3 linked regions of the Diceros bicornis minor genome follow. Each later gene encodes a partner of the first gene's protein in a complex. Links are inferred from orthologs where the notes say so. Each region holds a gene or a part of one and is shown in the gene's direction. Other genes may lie near its edges. The genes, in order: YEATS2, KAT14 and MBIP.

What was found.
Region 2: YEATS2 (region 1) and KAT14 share a complex: the UniProt entries of both Homo sapiens proteins name them as parts of the ADA2A-containing complex. The link is inferred for Diceros bicornis minor from reciprocal best matches to the Homo sapiens genes YEATS2 and KAT14.
Region 3: YEATS2 (region 1) and MBIP share a complex: the UniProt entries of both Homo sapiens proteins name them as parts of the ADA2A-containing complex. The link is inferred for Diceros bicornis minor from reciprocal best matches to the Homo sapiens genes YEATS2 and MBIP.

Annotation. Positions count from the first base shown.
Region 1 is NC_080754.1:39,887,822-39,895,123, reverse strand, and holds the start of YEATS2 (YEATS domain-containing protein 2), read left to right. Parts: upstream 1-4,271; 5' UTR 4,272-4,402; intron 4,403-4,575; exon of another isoform or gene 4,576-4,645; intron 4,646-4,759; 5' UTR 4,760-4,861; exon of another isoform or gene 4,862-4,880; intron 4,881-5,072; exon of another isoform or gene 5,073-5,136; intron 5,137-7,302. UniProt on the Homo sapiens protein: Chromatin reader component of the ATAC complex, a complex with histone acetyltransferase activity on histones H3 and H4. YEATS2 specifically recognizes and binds histone H3 crotonylated at 'Lys-27' (H3K27cr).
Region 2 is NC_080758.1:44,871,550-44,879,618, forward strand, and holds the start of KAT14 (cysteine-rich protein 2-binding protein), read left to right. Parts: upstream 1-5,010; 5' UTR 5,011-5,011; coding exon 5,012-5,270; intron 5,271-8,069. Other genes in the region: protein PET117 homolog, mitochondrial, read left to right, coding at 1,156-1,251, 4,548-4,697. UniProt on the Homo sapiens protein: Component of the ATAC complex, a complex with histone acetyltransferase activity on histones H3 and H4. May function as a scaffold for the ATAC complex to promote ATAC complex stability. Has also weak histone acetyltransferase activity toward histone H4.
Region 3 is NC_080744.1:13,267,825-13,275,194, forward strand, and holds the start of MBIP (MAP3K12-binding inhibitory protein 1), read left to right. Parts: upstream 1-4,304; 5' UTR 4,305-4,337; coding exon 4,338-4,466; intron 4,467-7,370. UniProt on the Homo sapiens protein: Inhibits the MAP3K12 activity to induce the activation of the JNK/SAPK pathway. Component of the ATAC complex, a complex with histone acetyltransferase activity on histones H3 and H4.

The DNA of each region.
Region 1 (7,302 bases):
TTCAGCTCCCTTGTCATTTTAATCTCCTGTACTTGGGAATGACAGATCAACTCAGAAGTATGATTGTCTCAGAAGCATGGAAACACAGTTAAGAGTTTCTCATTTAATTTAAATATTAACCCATTTTTACCAATTTTATCTGACCAGACACACAGAGATTTCACAAATAAAGAATTTTTTAATTCTTACTCATAGAAGTTAGATGTCTCGATTTAATATTTTTAATTTTCTACTTGGTAGAGGCATGGGTATAGAGAAATCGTTCTCTAATACGAGAAAACAGCAGTGTGAGTAAAACCATAAATGGCAACTGATGCTCAGAGTAGGATGGAGGAGTCAGGAAGACAACAGGGGGTAGTGGGACCTACTTCAGCCCTCCTGAAGGCACTAGGGCTCCTCTAAATGGGATTGCAGCTTTCCAGATGCATCCGTGGTGCAGCAGCTGAGCTCTCAGACTCAGTGCAGGACTGCTTGAGTCTGCAATCCAGCTCCACTTCTCAGCTGTCCAACACGTTATTCAACCTTTCTGTGCTTCAGTTTTCTCTCCCTTAAAGTATGAATAATAATAATAAAGTTGTTACTTAGATTAAATTTGTGAAGTGCTTGGAACACTGCCTGGTACATAGTGTTAGCTAATAACTAATTATAGGAATGTAGGTCCAGGTTACCACAGCTTCTGATTTTTCAGAGAAGGAGAAATCCAGGTTAGTATGTGAAATTTCTCAATATTTGGAGTGTTGGCTTGTTTAAAGCAGTGTGACATTGTAGGCTGTGACTGTGCAACCCCTCTGAACTGTACTATCTTCCACTGCAATCTCACCAGCTCTCACCAACTACCTGTTGACAACAGTATTGGCGGCAACTGACGGCACCACCCATCAGTTCTCCTCTGAGTCTCGGAACCACATGTACAGATGCCTGTTGAGTCTCTTCAGGTGGATGCCTCAAACTTAAAATGTCCCCAGGGGAATTCTTGATTCACCTACCCCGCAACATACAAAATCTGTTCTTCCTTCAGTCTCCCTCCTCTCGGTAAATGGCACCACCACCCACCATTTGCCAAAGCCAGGAACCTGGGAGTGACCCTCAGTTCTTCTCCTTCCTCATCTTCTCCTTCCAGGCCCACCTCCAGTGGTTGTGCGGGTGATTGCTGCTTGACTAGGCCTTGCCAGGGAGGGGCCTGAAATCCAACCACCAGCTGTGCCCCAGCACAGGGCACTGTCCCCTTAAAGGCTGGGGCAGCTTTTTCTCACATGCCATTAGACCTAGCAGGGGCCAGTCCCCTTCCCCTTCCTCGTCCGTCCCCTCCCAGTTCATTACCAAGTCTCTCAGTATTTTCTCCACAATTCTTGAATCTTTCCACTTCCCTCCATCTCCACTGTCTAGTGTAAGCTACCCTCATTTTTCACCTGGGCCACTCAAATTGCTTTCCAACTGTCTGGCTGCTGCTTTGTTCACACACCCTTCCAGGCATTCCCCACCCATTTGCTGGGTAAGTGGTCTTTTTTAAAGGGCAAATTGAATACCTTACTCCTCCGCTTAAAAACCTTTGATGACTTCCTGTTGTTTTCACACGGTAAAGATCAAAATCTTAACCCACCGCCCTGCGTGATCTTCCTCCTGCCTCACTCTCAGCCCCACCCTAACCACTCTGCTCTTGCTTCAGTGACCCTGGGTTTCTCTCACTTTGTCTCAGACTTAATCGTGCCCCAGCAGCTCCTACTGCCTTCAGGTTCCACTTACTATTTTTTCGGGGAGGCCTTTTCTCCCTCCACATTAGATCTGGTCCCGCTATGCTGTGCTTTCTCAGCACCCTGTCCATTTCCTTCCTAGATCTTATCTGTTATTGAAATGTACACACTGCATGCATACGTACAAACATCTGTAGCTATGTTATTTCTCTTTAAATGTTGCAAACTTTTTCATGGACTCTCATTCCTATTGGGGAATGGGCTAAACTTAAACCTGCCAATGAAAGTTATCTGGTCTTTTTTTTTTTTTTTAATTTTTTTTTTTATTTATTTTTCCTCCAAAGCCCCAGTAGATAGTTGTATGTCATAGTTGCACATCCTTCTAGTTGCTGTATGTGGGACGCGGCCTCAGCATGGCCGGAGAAGCGGTGCGTCAGTGCGCACCCGGGATCTGAACCCGGGCCGCCAGTAGCGGAGGGCGTGCACTTAACCGCTAAGCCACGGGGCCAGCCCGAAAGTTATCTGGTCTTAATAGTCTCATTTTGAGTAAACATTCAATCAATTCAAGGTTGCAGTCCTGTCAGAACTTTCCCCTTCCTCCTCTTGAGTTCCCAAGATGGCCTGTGGGATGCAACGGAAGCTTTGAGGTGGTGGCCAGAAGGGTCTCAGATCTGTGTGCAGAGCTGTAGCCTGGGTCCTCACTGGCCTGTGCTTCCTGGTCACTCCTGGTCACCTCAGCCCTGCTGGCATCAGCTGCTGAGGTTGTTGGCTGGCAAGCTCATGATCTGTTGCTTCAGCACCTTGAGAGTCTGACGTCTCACCTTCCCACTCCCCAATCCTCTATCCCTGCTCCTCTCCCCAGCTGACTTGGGAGCATTTCAGTTCTTGCTGGGGTCTTTGGCTCTGCCCATCCTTGAGGTCTGAGCCACATTCTCCAGCCATTCCCTGCCAATCAGTCCATCATTGCCTCTGTTTAGGATTACCAGGCCTCTGGCACAGTGCTCACTGCCCCGTCCATGGCTCTCAACCATTCTACTTTCTGCTTGCCTGGCAGGGAGCATACAGAGAAGTCTGAGATTCTGGCACGCCATCTGCAAGTTGTGGACACCCAGCAGCATCATCTCAGACCCCCTCCCTCCCCAATGCCACTGTCTGTTCCTGAGCCCTGCTCAATGTGAGACTTCTTGCCAGAATCCGGCAGCCTTCCAAGCTGGGCCATGGGAAGTGGGCTTCTCCCTCCCCCTCCACTTAGCTGGGTACTTCTATGCCTCTGCCTCAGGGTTAGACCCCAAAAGTAGGGGAACACTGACACACTCATGATAACCTCTTACCCTACCTCTTTCTCCATGAAATTTATTTTTATCTCCCCAATTCCTGTTCTCTCTTTGGGTCTTAGCTTAAGCTCAGGGAGGCCTTTCCGATAAAATTGACTGCAAATTTCACAAAGGCAGGAACTGTTTTGTTCATTTCTGATCCTCAGTGCCTAACACAGAGCTTGGCACACAGTGCCAGAACACAGAATAGAAATGCAATAAAAATTAGATTAATAAATATTGTTAATCTATCTTTACCTCTAATAGACCTTAAGGTCAGGAGACCAAGCGTGACATATTATAAATCCCTCTATTTCTTTCCCATGAAGGGCTCTGGAGTCAGTTCCTGGCCCTATTAGCCATTCATTCAACAAATATTTTCAGAGTGCATACTATGTGAAATGTACTAGGCTTGCTATTGGAGATAAAGAAGTAAATCTTTTAAAACATTTTTATTAAACATTAAATACATCCAAAAATTGGTAACATATATGTAAAGTACAAAAAATTACGAAGTGAATCCCCTCTAAACCTACGACCCAGTTCCAGTGGTAAACCTTTACATAGTGAGGAGAAGAGATTGAAGGCGGACAGAAACAGATCACTGGAGACCAGTTGGGAGGCTACGGCGGTCTTGGACAGAGAGGTGACCAGGGTCTGGGGTAGGGTGGTACAGGGAGAAGAAAAGCGAAGAGTGAGCTCAAGAGATATTTAGGACGAAAACTGGACTTGGTGGATTGTCACTCACTAGCTGTGCGACCTAGATAAGTCTCAATCTTTCCGAGCCTCAGTTTCTGCATCTGTAGAACAGGTTAGAAATAGCTATTGTTATTTGTATTCCTAGCACCTAGCACAAAACTTGCTACGAGATGACACACACAAAAATCATAGCCACTGTTGTTATTACTGGCGAAGCTTCATAAAGGCCGGCAGAATGAATATTCTCTGAAACTTCGGACTGGACCTCGCCATCTTCTTCTAAAGAGGAAACTGATAAATGACGCTGCCTTTCCCAGCACCGACGCCCGTACTCCCCAGGCAGCGCAGCAGCGCCGGCCAGGGTCAGAGTCTGGGCCCGGGCCAACCGCCAACCCCCGCGCGGGCCCAGGCCCCAGCACCAGCCTGTGCCCCGGCCCCGCCCACATCCCTGCGAGCTCCGCCCCGGGGCCGCGCGCGCGCGCCGCCGCCGCCGCGCGCACCCCGCCCCGCCCCTGCTGCTGACGTGCGCGGCGAACGGGCCGAGCGGTCTCCGCCGAGCCGTGTGCTTCCGCGGGCTCCGGGGTCGCTGGGGCCTCGTGGCGGGGCGGCTCTGCGGGGCTTCGTCCGCTCTCTCTCCTCGCCCGGGCCCTTTCGCGGCCCCCGGCGGGGCCTGTGCTTCAGCCGGAGACCGGGAAAAGGGTGAGTGTTGGCGGGAGCGGGATCGGACCGGCCGGGCGCGCGCGCCGCTCTCCGGAGCATTGTCTGGGCGGGGGCGGCGCGGGCACGTGCGCGCCCCTCCCCCACCCGCCGGCGCGCGGGCCCCCTGCCGAGGGGAGGGAGGGAGCGGGTGACTGCGGAGAGGAGAGGATCGGGCGCTGGGGGCTGGATCCACGGTGACTGTGTCTGTCAGGCAAGTCTCCGAAGCTGGAACCCGGAATTTGGGTGTGTGTGAGGGTCCTTTCCTAAGGGGCGCAGCGCTCTCTGAGGGGATGGGGTCCCTTGAGCCCCAGTGCCCGGAGCTTTTAGGATGTTAAGCTTGGTGCCCTGTGCCACCAGTTGGAGACGAGATTTGGCCCCAGCACTGGCAAGTTGTGAATTTACCGACAAGAATCCTGGAATCTCCGTCTCCATCCCTGCCGTCCCTCACCCCGGTGAAGGGTGAGTAGGCTGTAGAAAGGTAGGAGGATCTTCCAGGGATGGTGTCCGAGTTAAAGGTGTGAGATAGTGCGGGGTTGGGGTGGAAAGCTTGGGAAAGTGAGTTCTTGGAAGAAAGGCTGGTTTGGTGGGTTGTGGCAAGATTGCAGGAGACAATGAGGTTTATATCATAACCTTTTTTTTCTATTGTGAATGTGATTATGTTAAAAACTAGAACGTAGAAGACGAAAATATCACCAGTAATCCTACAGCCCTGACACATCATTCTTGGAGTTTTGGTATGTTTGCTGATATTTTCCTCTAAGCTTATAACAGTTACAATGAGTTTACCTACAGTTTTGTACTCTCTTTTCTCATTAACGTGTTTTCTCATATTTCTCATATTTCATAACATGTAATATTATATAGTATTCAGCAATATCATTTCCTCCTTAATAAGCAAGTAGCAAGTATTCATCATAGAAAAATGTAAAAATACAGTACTGGTAGTTTTATTGCCTAGAGATATTATCATTGAGTGTATGTTTTTGGTTGTGTACAGTCTTTGAAAGATAGGAGCAGATGATGTCCTGATTAGGAATTTAGATTTTATGGGAATATTTTGAAGGTTTTAAGAATGCAAGTAGAATAATTTTGACTGCTCTGTGGGGGAAGAGGGCAAGAATGGAAGCTGGGAGATTAGTTAGGATGCTGTTTGCAATACCTGGCATAGGTCCATGGCAGTGGAGATGGAGAAGACTAGAAAGATTTTAAAATATTTTGGAGGTAGAATGAGCAAGACTTGGAAGTGGATTGGTGAGGGAAAGGGAGAACTCTGCTTTTGATATTTGTTTTAAGCAACTCTGAGTAGATGGCATGTAGTGAGCAAGTGGAGGATGGAAGAGAGAAATTTGAGGTGGGAAAAAGAATGAGTTCTGTTTTAAATTTGAAGTGCATATTAGTTATGAAGTAGATATGGTGAGGAGGCAATTGGATGTACAGGTTTGGAACTCACGGAAGAGAGAGCCTAGAGCTGGAGATAAAAATTTGAAATACTCAGTATATAGATGATAATCAAAGGTATGGGACTGTATGAGATCACTTAGGAAAAGAGTATAGATGGAGAAGTGAAAAATCAGGGCTCAGACACTCCCGTACTTTGAGGTGTGGTAGAGGAAGAAGATTGAGCACAGGACAGAAGAAACAGCCAGTGGGGTAGGAGAAAAAGCAGCAGACTGGTGTCATGGAAGCCAAGAGAGATAGTCTAAGTTTCTGGAAGATGGAGAATTGGTTCTTTAGTGCTTCTGAGATGTTTAGTGAGATGCTCAGTTGGATTTGGCAGTGTGGAGGTTATTGGTTTTGGTCGTTGGTATTACTGTTCAGAGTTCTAGAAGTGGGAGGTGGAAACCAGATTGGAATAATTGAATGGAACATAAGGAAGTGAAGACAATGAGTGTAAATTAGAAAAAAGTACCCCTTCTTCAAGACACCTTATTTCCATCTGCCCTCAAACTAAATTTTTTTTTTTTTTTTGTGAGGAAGATCAGCCTTAAGGTAACATCCGTGCTAATCCTCCTCTTTTTGCTGAGGAGGACCAGCTCTGAGCTAACATCTATTGCCAATCCTCCTCCTTTTTTTTTCCCCCAAAGCCCCAGTAGATAGTTGTATGTCATAGTTGCACATCCTTCTAGTTGCTGTATGTGGGACGGGGCCTCAGCATGGCGGAGAAGCGGTGTGTCGGTGCATGCCCGGATCCCAACCCGGTCAGCCAGTAGCGGAGTGGGCGCACTTAACCACTAAGCCACACGGCCGGCCCAACCCTCAAACTAAATTTGATAGATGAAAAATAGTGTCTTGTTTAATTTTTCATTCCTTGATTACTAGTATGTTTGAACATTTTTCACATTTATTGGCCATTTTTGAATTTCTTTTCGTGTCCTCTGTGCATCTTTTTAATTGTATTTGTCATTTTCTAATTGATTGTCAAGAGTTCTCTATCATTAAAAATATATAGCTTGACATAAAACTTGCAGAATTTCCCACCCGTGTACAGTCATATGTCACTTAACAATGGGGATATGTTCTGAGAAATGTGTCATAAGGCGATTTCATCTCTCTGCAAACATCATAGGGTATACTTACCAAAACCTTGATGGTATAGCCTACTATACACCTAGGCTCTATGGTACTAATTTTATGGGACCATGTTCGTATGTGCGGTTCATCATTGGCCAAAACCTCGTTATGCAGCGCATGAGTGTATTTTTACCCCCTGGAAATAAATGCATTTATTACATAGGCTCCATCAGGAAGGACATGGTTAATAATGGAAAAACCATACTTATCATTTAACTCCTGTCTACTTTTTTTTTCACTTGTAGCAAAATACACATAACATGAAATTTACCACCTTAACCATTTTTTTGGGGGGGAGGAAGATTGTCCCTGAGGTAACATCTCTCACC
Region 2 (8,069 bases), on another chromosome or scaffold:
ATCTGATGGGGGGGGAGCGGAGTTCTCCTTACCTCTCCCCACTTCCTCAGGGGGCCCAGCAGGTTCCGCTCTCAGATGTGCGGGCAGTATGGATCCCTCCGCTCTAGGTTTTCACTGTCTGGGATTCCGTTGTTGGTCTGTGGCTGTTGCTTTTGTTGTATCTTGTCGGGGTAGAGTTCACGGAAAGCTCACTCCGCCATGATGCTGACGTCACCTCCCTGTTCCCTGTGAATTCTAGTGTGAAAGAATGACAATGAAAATATCTCTTCACTGGAAAGCCAAAGTCTTTCCGTGCCTTGCACAGCACTTTGCGCTACTGTCAACGCACTACTTCATGCCCTCACGCACATTCCCAGTAACGGCGCTATCAGGAATCCTCTCCTACCGCGGCGGGACCTGAGGCTCCCAGGGAGTAAAAGTGATCTCTTAAGGATTTACATGGGCAACTCGGTGACCAGCGCTTTTCCTATCAGGAGGCAAGGAGGTGTTGCTGCCCCGTTAGCATGCTCTTTAGCCAGAAGGGTTTTCGATTTTAAGAAAAATCAGACCCTGACCAGCCACCCCAGATCGCCAAGGTGAAAGCAGGTGACCGTGTCTACACGTTTAAGAAGCAAAAACTCCATCTCCTGGTGGCACTTACCCCGCCACAGGGGCAACGGGGGCTGCGTTGGTGCAGCTGGTATTGAGCAGAGCAGCTGGGTCAGCCCTGCGCTCAGAAGGGACGCGCGTGGGAGAGGGGTCAGCAAGGTACCGCATCGGGAATCCGGCCCCCAGGACGCCTCCCGCCGCTGGGGACGGGGGGCGGGGGGCGGGGAGGAGATGAGGTGGCTCAGGCAGGGAACCCCCTACCCCGGCAAGGTGCTGGGGCCAGCTTTGGGTCGGGGCTCTTTAGAATTTGAATTGGGAGTTCTAACCCGGCCGCCTGCAGGGTGGGGAGGGGATCCCTCCTGTCTGGGGGCCGCAACCAAAGCCTCGCTTTCCGCGAAGCCGGGGCACCGCTCGGCTCTCGATTGCTCGCGTCTGGCGGCGGCGGGCGGCGCTCGCGGCGGCGGGGGCTCTGCGCTCGAGGAGTCGAGGCTGCCGCACCGGCGGCGGCGCGCAGGGCGGCGGTCCTACGCCTCGGGCGGGGGAGGAGGTCGCGGCGCCGGCGGGGGGATGTCGAGGAGCTCGAAGGCGGTGCTGGGCCTCTCGGTGGTGCTGACGGCGGCCACCGTGGCCGGCGTGCATCTGAAGCAGCGGCAGGACCAGCAGGTCGGTGTCACGTGACCGTCTCTCCGCGGGCCCTCCGCGCGGTGCCCCGGGCCTCTCCTCCTGTCGGGTCCTCGCGGCGCGGCTCGGCTTCTCCACGCCTTCCCGCTGCGGCCCGGCCGCCGCCCGCTCAGCCCTGGGCGCTGCAGCCCGCGGCCGCGTGCGTCTTCGGGGCCCGGGGGGCCCGGCCCTCCGCGCCGAAGTCACCTGGCTCCGCCAACGCACGCCCGCGGGTGCTCGGCGGCCCTGCTTTCAGGTCGCAGGCAGCTTGCGGGGATAGAGACCTTCCAGCACCTCATTTGGGCCGCTGGAAAGTAGAGGCGGGGAAGGGTTTCTTTGGGGTGCACCCAGCGAGTTACCGGCCTCTCTCTACCCCCAGGCCCAAGATTAGGTTTTGATATCTTTAAAAGTTAAAAAGGTTTTATCCCATGAAAAAGAAGGCGTCCCCGCTCTCGCCGTCGTGCTTTTTTGGCCAAGGTAATTTGGTGAGATACTTGGTTTTTCTTTTCTTTTTTTAAGGAACACTTTGCTATGGAAACTAGATTCAGGGAACACTAGAGAGACCAGCCTCCCAATTTTCTCTTTTCAGTACTTTTATTTCTGGAAATATCCGAGACTTACCGATCAGTGGACTGACCGTCCGTTCTGTATTTCTCAGTTCACATTTTCTTTCTTATTCAATTGGCAAACATTTAAGGACTGGTCACTGTGTGTCAGGCACCACACTAGGCACTTTGGGAAACAAAGATGAGGAAGCACAGCTGCTCCTGAGACTAAATGATTCAAAACAGTGCTGGGTGTTGAGTGTGAGAAGGAGCAACTAGGTCGTGGGTGAAGTCTCAACATCTTGGTGAGGGATTGGGGTTTAGCCTAGTTTGCCAATGGTGGAAGTAATGGACTGGATGAATCAATAGTGAACAGTTTTTTTTGCACTGGACGGTCTTCTGTGCTTGGTATACAGAGGTGAAGCACATGAGGTCTAGTCCTCGCTGTTCAGACTTTGGAAATCAAAGAGGAAGCCTGTAATGATACAAAAATTTTGAGGAGGGCGTAATGGGAGACTAATGATGAAAGGGCATGGAAGAGATTAGAGATTTGGGATTAAAGTACAGGTTCTAAGGGGGTAGCATTTGGAATAGAGGCAGGAGACTTCTTCCTCTAGGAAAGAAAAGACTGTGATCTTGAGAAAATTTGAGATGGAGTGGAGGATAGTATGTCAGATATAGCTCTGAGGTCAGCCAATGCAGGGACTTTTAAAGGGTACGGGCTAGGGATGAGTTAGAGCTTGGTTCTGAACCCTAGCTACACATCCCAATTCCTGGGTAGTTTTTACAGTGCAGCTGAGGCTGGGCCCTACTCCAGACCTATTAAACAACATCTCTAGGGCATGGGGATCCAGCTTAGCTTTGTTTTAAAATTGACTCACGGGATTCTAACATGTAGCCCAGGTTGAGAACCACTGTGTTAGAGAGTGGAACAACAGGAGGATTTAGGTATTTGGAAGTTAGAGATGAAGAAAAGATTGACCAGAATAGTGTGTTTACTTTACATCCAGTTGTTCATGTGGGTGGGCTTACTTCCCAGCAATGGGAAAGAGTAGGACAAAAGATTGAGGGGCTGGCCCAGTGGCGTAGTGGTTCGGTTTGGGGCACTCCGCTTCAGCGGCCCGGGGTTTGTGGCTTCAGATCCCAGGCGCGCACCTACAGCACTCATCAAGCCATTCTGTGGCGGCATTCCACGTACAAAATAGAGGAAGATTGGCACAGATGTTAGTTCAAGGCCATCTTCCTCACCACAAAAAAACATTGACATATTGGAAGTTTCAAGGAAGCAAGAAATAAAAGAATGATTGTTGTTTCCTGTTGTTCTTGACTGTCTACGACATGCCAGGTACTGTACTCTATGTACATCATCTTTAATCCTCACAGGAACCCAGCAAAACAAGTGGTACTGCGGGAGGAGCCAGAGTTCTAGGTGTTAGAGTTGTAATAGTGAAGAGGTCTTGGTGGTTTGTAAGCGAGGCGGTTAGTAAGGTAGTTAAGTGGAAGTCCCAGGAGGGATGTGCGAGGCAATCACAAAGACATTGAAACTTGGAGGAAGATAGCAGATGATGGATGGAGAGCAAGATCCTAAGCCATGTGCTAAAGTGTCTGAGAAAGGAAGGGTAGGATCTCAGAGGCAGGTGTGGAAACAGTGATTACAGTGGGTGTGGACTTTGTGCGGGGGGGTGCGTTGGGGTGTTGTAGGTGTGTCATGGTGTAAGGAGCCCAGGACAGGAAGAAATGGGGAGGGAGGAGTGGAATGAGTGTCTCCATTTCTGTCTCTGGAGATCTTGCAAAGGGTACAGGGTTCAAGAAAGTTGGTTTTCAGCTGTGTTATCAGTCCCCGGACTCTTAAATTTCCCAACTCCCCCATGATAGCAAATGAAGCTCTAGGCCTGGAGGAGGTCCAGCAAGTAGGTACTTGGTGAGTTTTTAAATAGACATAATAATTTAAAAAAAATGCCCCAGCCCCACTCCCATTAATTCTACCTCACAGGGCCACTGTTAAAAACTTAATAGAGTGTTTTGTGACCTATAATCTATAAAGTGTTAATTACTAGTAATGACTGGATTGATGCTTTAATAAGTCTCATCTTAGGTGCCAGGTCCACGTTCTGGAATTTTCTGCCTGTCTTTAGTGCTTATCAAAGTAACTACCATTGACGGGCCTTTATTTTTTCCTCTGATAGTAGCATTATTTTTTCCCCTTCTCTCCTTCTTATGTAATTGATTAGTAATTCTGAATAATTTTTACTTTTTCTCTTTACATTCTGGGGGGGCGCCAGTTTTTTTACTTTCTTGCTTCCTTACAGTTTGTTCAAGTTTTAGTAATCGTTTTTTTTCTTTGATGTTTATTATTCAACTAGGGTAATTGCTAACAGGAAAGTAGTTCAGAGTTGATGTAGTATCTCATCAAGTTTTTAAAGCATCCTCTATCAAACTTTTAAAATTCAGTATAGTGGCAGTTTTTTCTCTTTTAATTGTTATTTCCCATTAAGTTTTCTATACTGAATGTTCAGGAATTTCTTAAAATATGATAAGTCATTTCAGTAATAACGCTATAGCACAGTACCCAGTTAAGTTGATGGTTTCTTTATTACATTTTACATTTATACAGAAAGTTACAGTAGTAACTGGGTATTTGGAATCTGAAGGTTTTAGGTGTATTTTGGTAACACTGTTGTTTGGATTTGGATGGCACAAGGATGGGAACCACCTGGTCAGGGTGTTACTGAAATCTGTTGCTTACGTTTTTAGAGGCTTCGTGACGGAGTGATCAGAGACATTGAGAGACAAAATCGGAAAAAAGAAAACATTCGCCTTTTGGGAGAACAGATTATTTTAACTGAGCAACTTGAAGCAGAAAGAGAGAAGATGGTATTGGCAAAAGGATCTCAAAAAACATGACTTGAAATGAATGGGAAAAATCGATGGGACAGACAGCGTTAAATGTGTGTGTGAGTGTGTTGATGGAGAACAGCTTAGAGAAATTTCAACCTTGTTTTTGTCACTGTCTTTTTAAACTTGATCAAAAAAAGGACAATGGGTCATATATTTTAAATGATTGCTTTAAAAGTCTCCTATATCTGAGTAAAGAAGTGGGCAGACACTCTTCTGAAGAGTTTCTGTTTGTGTGATCCTGATAGAAGCCGCTTTAAGCTTGGTGTCCAGAGCTTAGGATTGTTCCTGAGAAGCGCTTCTGCACCTGTGAGAAGGAAGGGATGGATAGTAACGTCCACCTGAGTGGTTTGATAAGTCGGCACGATGATGAAGCCACTAGAACATCTACCTCAGAAGGACTTGAGGAGGGTGAGGTGGAGGGGGAGACTCTGCTGATTGTTGAGTCAGAGGACCAGGCATCAGTGGACTTGTCTCATGATCAGAGTGGGGACTCCCTCAACAGTGACGAAGGAGACGTGTCGTGGATGGAGGAACGGCTGGCCTACTTCTGTGACAAGTGCCAGAGATGGATACCAGCCAGTAAGGAGCTTCTCATTTCCTTTGATTTGTCAGTTCCTATGTGCAGGTTTGTTTTTCTAACCTGTGAAAGAAACGTGAATGTAAAACAGACCTAAGTAAAAAGATAATTATTATATTTATTATTAGTTTAGTTGAATAATTACAAATTTATATAAAACATAGACACATTTGTACTAATAAAAATTACTGTCAACCTCTATCATGTTGTTAAATTAACATTCTTGATGGTAATCCAATAAAAATTAGAAAGTTGGAAATCCTCTGTTACTTAAAGACTTAGTCACATTTTTCTTCCAAGATCACGTTGTTATGGATTTGGGGCCAAATTCTAGGCCGAGTGTAGAATTAAAGGTCAAGTTCACAAAAATTACTCTGTTAATATTTAACTTAGGTGGAAAACTCCTGCTGTTGTATGCTGAAGTGAGGTCAGAATTAGCAGATTAAAAGTGTTTTGTGCCCTTTTTCTAGGACCGTTCTTGTTTCCTACTTGTTGGCCTCCTTGTCTACTTCGAGAGGCACATAGTTACGTACCCCCTTGACACCTCAGTGTTTCAGCTCCATCTTTTAGCTGCCAGCTTCTTAGCTCTCAGGGAGTATGCTTTGCCAGCCATCATGAGACTTACCAAACAGGATTTTTCCATTAGGCAGAGACTAATAAAGACATATGTACTGGAGGAATACTTTGTGTAATAGAATTGGTAACTAGATCAGAGAAATTTTTATATATAATTGTGAAGTGGGTCCTTTTCTGTTACGTGGAAATGTTTTCAAGATGGATTCATCTATTCAGATTAATAGTTACTATTAATAGATAACATTTTCACAGAAAACAAACCTAGATTTTATTACATATTAGCTAGTTGTTGCTTCCGAGCTGTCTCTGCTTATTAATTCAGGGTTCTGCCTGAAAATCTCAGTGGCTTTCCCCTTGTCCTCGCAGGGTACGTTTTAAACTGTCCTTCATGATCGGCCCCTGCTAACTTCTTCAGCCTCTCCTTAGTAGCCTCCTATCCCCACATATAAACAGAACTTTGCAGTTAGGATGAGCTTTTTCTCACCACAAACAATTATTTCTTATCCCGAGGACTTTGCACATTTTAATTTCCTCTCTGGGCTATGCATCTCTATAGCCTCCATCCCTCCCCCCATACACACAATTGCCTCTCTTCACCCGGCCAATTCTAGTCATCCTTTGGGTCCCCTGTAGACCCTACTTTTTCTAGCTCTCTTCCTAATATGTGTTGGGTACCTCTTTTATGTGCCCACACGTTGCCCTATGGCACACATCACATTCCACTCCAGTGGTTTTCATGTCTCCCAGAGTGTCAGCATCACCTGGGAACTTTAAAAAAAAAGCAGAGACTCAGGCCTCACTTTCAGAGATTGATTCATTTTGTGTGGGGTAGGTCCAGGCATGTTTAAAACAAAAACTGTGCGTGATGCTGATGCACAGTGAGGAGGGAGAATCACTGTGCTCTTGTGATTACCTGTTTCCCTGTATGTAGCCCTCACAGAATTTGCAGGTACTATGTCTGTCTTGGGTGTAGTATTCCTGGTTCCTAGCCCACTGCCTAGCACAGTGGGAGCTCAGCTATTTTTTTTTTTTTTTTTTTTTTGATATTTTAATGGTTTCTAACATTGTGAAATTTTGGGTTGTACATTTTTGTTTGTCCATCACCCCATATATGACTCCCTTCACCCCTTGTGCCCACCCCCCACCCCCACTTCCCGGGTAACCACAGTCCAGTTTTCTCTGTCCATGTGTTGGTTTATATTCCACATATGAGTGAGATCATACAGTGTTTGTCTTTCTCTTTCTGGCTTAGTTCACTTAACATAATACGCTCCAGGCCCATCCATGTTGTTGCAAATGGGACGATTTTGTCTTTTTTTATGGCCGAGTAGTATTCCATTGTATATATATACCACATTTTCTTAATCCAATCGTCAGTCGAGGGACACTTAGGTTGCTTCCACTTCTTGGCTATGGTGAATAATGCTGCAATGAACATAGGGGTGCATAAGCCTCTTTGGATTGTTGATTTCAGGTGCGTTGGATAGATTCCCAGTAGTGGGATGGCTGGATCATAGGGCATCTCTATTTTTAATTCTTTGAGGAATCTCCATACCGTTTTCCATAGAGGCTGCACCAATTTGCATTCCCACCAGCTGTGTATGAGGGTTCCTGTTTCTCCACATCCTCTCCAACATTTGTTGTTTTTTGTCTTGGTGATTATAGCCATTCTAACGGGTGTGAGGTGGTATCTTAGTGTTGTTTTGATTTGCATTTCCCTGATGATTAGTGATGTTGAGCATCTTTTCATGTGCCTATTGGCCATCTGTATATCTTCCTTGGAGAAGTGTCTGTTCATTTCCTCTGCCCATTTTTTGATCGGGTTGTTTGTTATTTTGTTGTTCAGTTGTGTGAGTTCTTTATATATTATGGAGATCAACCCCTTGTCAGATGTATGTTTTGCAAATATTCTCTCCCAGCTGGTTGGTTGTTTGTTCATCTTGATTCTGGTTTCATTTGTCTTATAAAAGCTCTTTAGTCTGATAAAGTCCCACTTGTTTATTTTTTCTTTAGTTTCCCTAGTCTGGGTAGGCATGTCATCCGAAAAGATTCCTTTAAACCCAATGTCAAATAGTGTGTTGCCTATATTTTCTTCTATGAGTTTTATAGTTTCAGGTCTCACCTTCAGGTCTTTGATCCATTTTGAGTTAATTTTTGTGAGTGGCGATAGCACATGGTCCACTTTCATTCTTTTGCATGTGGCTGTCCAGTTTTCCCAACACCAT
Region 3 (7,370 bases), on another chromosome or scaffold:
CCAACTTATCCTAATTAACAATTTTTATTAAAATTTTCTCTGTTCAAACAACAGGTATAGTTTCTGTTTCCTGACTAAAAACCTGGACTGATTAGAAATTGGTATGGGGAGTCCCAGTAGACAAATCCTCAAAGATGGGATTTCTAGATTGGTTTAGTTGTGTCCTCAGAACTTGATTGTAGTGCTGAGCTCCTTGATAACAGAAAGTGGAACTCTGTGATCCATTGCATGACAACACAATTAGTCAATATTACTCCAACTTATTTGATCATGGAAACTTCTGTTGAAAGAAGCATCTTATAGGACTAGAATTCAGCAGAACAAACTTTGGGAAATGCTGGCTTAGCCATACTTCTCTATTCAGTCTATCCTCCTTGCACACATCAAGCACGTTCAAATTGCTGCTCACGTTTTATCTAAATTGAGAATCTGTACTCATCATTTAAGCCTCAATTCATGTTTTATATCAAGTATTTAGAGCTTTTCCTGACACTGAACCCAACACCTTCCCAAAGGAACTGATTGTTTGCTTTATACATACGTCTAATATGATCATTGTCACAATATAATCCTAGTTGTCTGTTTACATATATGCCTAGCCCACTAGAATTGGAGCTCTTTGAGAGAGAGTCCTTGTCTGATTCGTCTTTGTATCTCCAATGCTGATCAGAGTGTCTGGCATGTAGTAAGTACAATTAATTTGTATGGGTGTCATTCATGAGAATGGTCACAGAGGCTAGCTATATTTATTCATTAAGAAAACTTTGAGCATTTTGAATTTGCTATTCCAGAAGAGGATAAACAGACATGCTTCATTATTTGAAATGAACTGTTTATAGCATTCTTACTGTGGGTTACAGTTTCCCCTCAAGAGTAGAAACTTGTTTCTTTTTTTTTCCATTTCACAAATCTGTTCACCTTAGGCAAATAAATTCAGCTCAGCAAGCATGTACCGAGCAATTACTCTGTGCCAGGAACTTTGCTAAGCCTTAAGTACATGAACATGATACACATAAATGCTCATAGTTCAATGGGGAGGCAGATTCATAGTCAAATAAATTTCATTATCAATGTGATAAGTATTACAATGGAAGTATATACAAGTCGTAGGAGTAGTTTACCAGAGAAGATAAGCTCTTTATGAGAAGGACTGTGAGGAGACTTCCCAGGGATTTCTGAGTTGGAGTTGAGGAGGAATAGGAGTTTTCCAAGCAGACAAGAGGCAGGGGTGTAAATAAAAACATGTAGGCAAAAAACAGAAAAGCTTTGAAGAAGTAAAAGAAGTTTCAAGAGCATTAAGCACCAGAAACGAGGCAGAAAACGAGGCTGGAAATGTAGGCAAAGGCCAGATCATGAGAAGAGCCTTAGATGCCATTCTAAGGAACTTGGATTTATCCATCAGGTGATGGGGAGCCAGAGAAGGCAAATAACATTTATTTTTCCTTTTCTGCATTAGGAAAAATTTGTACTACCATACACTGAACAAGCATCTGTTGAGCACATATTATATCTCAGGCATTTTGCTGTGCACTGGATTATTTATAGGGTGTGCCTTTAAAGTTCTTCAAAACGGACATTTTTGTTGATAAGATAGATAGCCTAGATTTCATTTACAGTTTCTATCCTCCCAATTGATTCTTAGCATAAGCTTGCAGGACAGTATTTCTAACTCCGTTGCTAATGCCAAGACCAACACTTTGAATCATTTCTGCCAGGGAGCAGATTTTTCAGCAACCCACTTCATAAACTGTAATTAGTCTTCTATAAATGGCAACTTATTTCCTTTATTCCCTTTCTAAATTTCATAGCTTTCATCATATTTTTGTTATACATTACTATCTATATATTTCTATTTAAAGTTAGCCCAAGGAAATCCACATCTTTTCAGCCTACAAACTCGTCTATTTAAAATAAATAGGAGGGGCCGGCCCCGTGGCTTAGCGGTTGGGTGCGCGCGCTCCACTGCTGGTGGCCAGGGTTAGGATCCCGGGCGCGCACCGACACACCGCTTCTCTGGCCATGCTGGGGCTGCGTCCCACATACAGCAACTAGAAGGCTGTGCAACTGTGACATACAACTGTCTACTGGGGCTTTGGGAGAAATAAAAAAAAATAAAATAAATAGGAGAAAATAAGAAAAATTTCCAAAACGAAGGTAGTAGGTGTCAGAAAGGAGAAAGAAAGGTCCCTGGAAAGAAGAAATAATGCAGAAAGGAGTTAAATTCCAAGAATTATCTAATAACCAATACTAAGATATAAGTACAAGTCTGGATATTTAAACAGAATTACACAATTTATATACAAACCAAATGGCCATCAATTAGTTCTATATTAGGGGTTCAAGTCTATATTACGGGTTCAAGTAAAACTTGAAATTCCAAAATCAGTGATGGCAAAGAAAGGAAGGAGCAGTGCCTTATCAAAGATGGTAATAGACAAAGCATGTTCCCATGTTTCATACCAGAGTCATGAATATTTGAAAAATTCACACCCTAGTGGCCCGCAGATGGTATAGTGGTTACATTCATGCGTTCTGCTTCAGTGGGCTGGGGTTCAACGGTTCAGACCCTGGGCATGGACCTACTCACCACTCATCAAGCCATGCTGAGGTGGCATCCCACATAGATGAACTAGAAGGGCCTACAACTAGGATATACAAGTATGTACTGGGGCTTTGGGGAGAAAAAAGTAAAAGAGGCAGATGGGCAACAGATGTTAGCTCAAGGGCAATTTTCCTCAAAAAAGAAAAAAAAGGTTTTAAAACAAATCTTCACATCTGGGTGAAAATAAATGATCTGAAGCTGGTTGCTAATTTGTTACAAAACAAAAATTTCTAGTTACCCCATTACAATATTCTCCTCTAACAAGAGAACCAAAGGCAAAGAAAATATGCTAACATTGCTAAGAATTATGAATTTAGGTTAGCTATGGGGATGAGTGCGGTGAATAAGAAGGTTGCTCAATTTGGGGTTAGATATTGTGAAACCTTTTTCTGGATGCCTCTAGATGTAGGCTGGGTTATAAACTGTATATCTTGCTGTGGAACATGGGAACAGACAAGATTTCTCAAGATCCTGTCAAGCTTGGAGATCTTTGGAAATGAAAGCCTAATTAAGAGGCTCCCTAGGGACAGGTCAAAGACGTTCTTTTCTCCCTGCAGCCCTTATCCCAGTTCCTTGATGCCTTATTCCTCCCCTTTCACTCCGCCTACTCAAAAACTGGAGAATACCTTATGCAAATTTCCACCTTTGCTTCCTCTACTGCAACTGCATTAGACTATTAGAATTAAGAATTGTAAATCCCTCGTCCCTTATCTTTGAACTGATGATTTTTATTTATAAGTGTTTTTGAATAGAGCTTAACACTAAAAATTCTTCTACAACTTGTTTTTTCAATGGGACAAAATTTTTTTTTAATGTTAAGATTCTACAAGATTACAAAGTCCTTCAAATATCTTTTAATAAGGCTATCTGATAAATAATACTTCGTCAAATTTCAATTTGGATTTGTCTTCCTTACAATTTCAAAGATTGTATTGCATGCAATTACCTACTTGGGTTAAATTCCTGTTGGAATCATATTGACTGTTTCACTCCTTTGAAGCAGTTTTAGGGTGAGCGTCTCTACGCTATCACCCAGAGAATAGCAACTGATGCACGTTTTAAAACTGGACATAATTATTTTGCAGATTTAAAGTAATTAATGTCATTTCCTTGATAGTAAATGTGGCATAACAGAGCACTTGATTGTTCTTTTATATAGCCCCGTCCCTCGCATGAAAAATTAGTGACGTTAATTTGTGTAAGTTTTAAACAACCTTGTAGCAATGAAAACGTCCTATCCAATTATGACAATTCTGTATGAAAGAGTTCTTCAACGTTTAGAAATACGTCTGGGGACCGCCGCATCCCTGACCAGCGATTTTTCTCCATGCCACGCCAGAGCGCCATGTTAAAATTTCAACTTTTAATTTGGGGCTAAAACTGTAACATTTAGCTATAAGTTTCCTCTTACCAACACTTCTGAGCAACATCTAAGAGTCAAGGTAGGCTTCATGAAGCTAAACCTCAGCCGACCACGACTCCAACCACCATCCCAAATACTGCACCCAGCCTTGCACAGGTCCGCAATTCCTGCTCTCAGTCCTCCGCGTAACGCTATCGCTGCATCTGATTGGTGCACGTGCTGTCAATCACATAGAGAGGGTGGGTCCTCAAAGCTCCGCTCTCAGCGAGACGCTGTGTTTTTACGTCATCGCCGAGCGACGACAGCCGGAAAGGGAGGGGTTGGGGCTGTGAGCGCGTCTCTGTGGTGGCGGGGGTGGCCTGCGAAGGTGTCATGGCTGCGGCCACCGAGCTTAGTCGCCCTAGCATCGGTAACAGGAGCCTGGAGCGGAGCTGCAGCCCCAGCCTCTCCCAGGAGGTGCTCTGCGAAATCTTTCGCTCCCTGCATACCCTGGCCGGACAAGTGAGTGGTGGCCTGTGGGAGTAGGGGTATGGGAACCGTGCGGCCCCTCCCCGCTTTTTCCTCTGGCGGAGGACGGGGGCAGCGGAGGCCTGCCGGGTGTGGGACCCGCCGGAGAGGCTGCGGCCGGGGGAGGAAGGAGTCCAGGCCCGGACGCTTGCGGTCGGAGTGAGGAGGGCCGCACCGGCTTAGTTCAGGACCGGGGGCAGACTAGATTTCATTGCAACTCTTCTCCCCCAGAGTGAGTGAGGATAGTATAAGAGCAACCCGGCTCCAAGAGGAACAGGCTTGGAGAGAATCAGTGCGGAAAAGCTTCTCTGAGGGTTTGCGAGGCGTCTGGCGCTCAGGATCCCTTTTCCTCCAGTTCATTCGTTAGAAATGGATACGTTAGTGCCGCCTGAGATTGCTAGAAAAACCCTCTCTCCGCCTTGCTTGGGTGATTTGCTCTTATGAGTCACTTGGTTTATTTCTTTTTTCCTTCTGGCCATTGTGTGCAACTCTTACCCTTTCAAATGGGGAAAAAAATAAAAGGAATGAATCTAAAATACTTATAGCATGAAGTTGGATGAGTTATCCGTGGTTGATACTGTTCGCATCAGAACTGTTGTTTAGCTAGTTGTTTATCTATTAACTAGTTTAACTGGCTGATAAATAGCTTTTGCAGAAGTATCATAATAAAGTTGGGTTTAAATAAAAGTGCTCCTTACACTCTATTACAATCAAGTCACTATATATATATTATATATGTTTCATGATGTAAAATGCAAAACAAATTTTAAATGAGAAACAACCTGAAAATAAGTTTGTCAGCCTTTAAAGGAATTTTTTTCTCTTATATCTTAGACGGAAAATTTTTTAGCTGTAAAAGTTTGTATGGGTCTGGTACTAGTGCATGTAACAGACACAGCAGGCATTTGTGTCGAAGATATGGTAACTTTATGAAAATAGAGCATTTGTCTTATTTGAGAAAATTATTTTTAAAAGCCTTGGGTGGATGGAGAATCGATTTTTTAAAAGATTATTTCAGTAATTTTCAAAATCCTAATATGTTTGTCGTGACTTACAAAGAGCATTACTCTAAGTTAAACATTGGTGTAATGGAACGATTATTCATAGAATCTGATAAAAATTGTAACTTAAACTCAGTTGTTTGCCAAAGACTTACTACAAAAAAATTTTTTAAGGACTTGGGGACATTAATATTTCAGGCTTAAGACCCAAGACCTGTAAATGGTTTAAAAGTTTGAGAACTTTTTATGGCATGAAGATTGGAACTTGAAGGTTTATTTATATTCTAATGTCAGGATAAAAGAATTTCGTGCTCACCTATAATTTACAGAGGTTTTTTTCAGTGATGAGATATTTTTTAAAATAATGTTAAGAAATAATTTAAACATTTTGTTTAAAATATTTTGCATACTTAATTTTTAAAGCTCATTTAAAAATTTTAAACATTCAGATATTCTGTAGGTAGAAGTAGAAATGTGATTAAAGTTTATGTCACCTGCCAAAAATGTTTAGAGTAAATATTTGGCGAGTGTACGTGACATAGTGAACAGACCATCTATACGAGTGTCAAAAAAATAAGATTGTCTCATCGATTAAATGTTAACCATTTTGGTAATATTTTTTATGTATTGAGATTCATTGTTTAAAGATAAGAATGAAAGCCAGAGTACTAATAAAATTTCCTCTGGAGGAGATCCCTATTTCCTTTTGCAATGAGTTTAAAGGATTTTTTTAAAATGTATGTTGTAATATGCCTAAGTTCGTTTTGTATAGTATCATTGTATTATTAGCTCTCCTCAATAGGAAACATAAAGTTGAATGTTAAAAAGTATTTTCTATTCCAGGTTTCAAATTTACTGGTTTTGACCTTATGGCTTGCCTCTGGATGGCCATTTTACCAAGCTGAAGAATTACTTACTGTTAGCTTGGATTTTCGTATTAATTTAATAATGTTTTTACTGAAAATGCATATTTAAATAGTCCATATTGATGGCAGACTAATACATTTTTGAGTGAGTGGTTTACAGTTACAAGTTCTATAGGGTAAAAATGCATAGAATTCATATTACTAATAGAGAATTGTTGAATAAATAGTTGGATGCGTTGGGATTATTTTAATTTGTGACATTATTATGTGGCTTTCTTAAAAGACAAAGGATCTTTAATTGCACTTGAAGGCTTACATAATTCTGCTGAATTGAAATGAGAATATGATCCTAACGTTAAGATTTATTTTCTATGAGTTATTATTTTCTCTAGAAAATTTGATGCTTTGTTTTGGTTGAGGATTTGCCTGCATTATCCCCAAACTGTATTTATAAATTTGTTATAATCGACTATAGATCTCTTTGAAGACTGTAAAAGTATAATAATACTTTGCTTCCACACATAAGTTGTTGTCTAACAAAATCTTTATAGGTGTTAAATAATATAAATTAAGATTAATGTGGTAATCTTCATGTAAAACCTTAGTTAAATTAATATTAACTAATATTTGCCAGTGCAGCCTACACAAAACTTCCTGTTTCTTTATGCTTGTCTAGTATGGACTTCAGATGTTTCTGGTCTCACATTTGAAGGGTAGTAAATTTCTGTCAATTAGTATTCATTCAATATAGTGCATTTTTTTGGTAACTTTGGATCTCTTTTGTTCTTTGTATAGTGATTCATCCTTTTATTATAATCACAACTCACAAGATCTGTATTTGAACTAATGTAACACTTGTCTTTATTTTGTAGAAAACATGACTAATTTTTAATAAATGATTTCTGAAAAAATAACATAGTTGATTGTAATATGCAATATATCCTTATAGTATGCATAAACACATGTCCTAGAAAAGTTTATGGTGGTTCACTTTTATTTACTCAAAAGACTAGAGATGGAGGTTTCCCTCT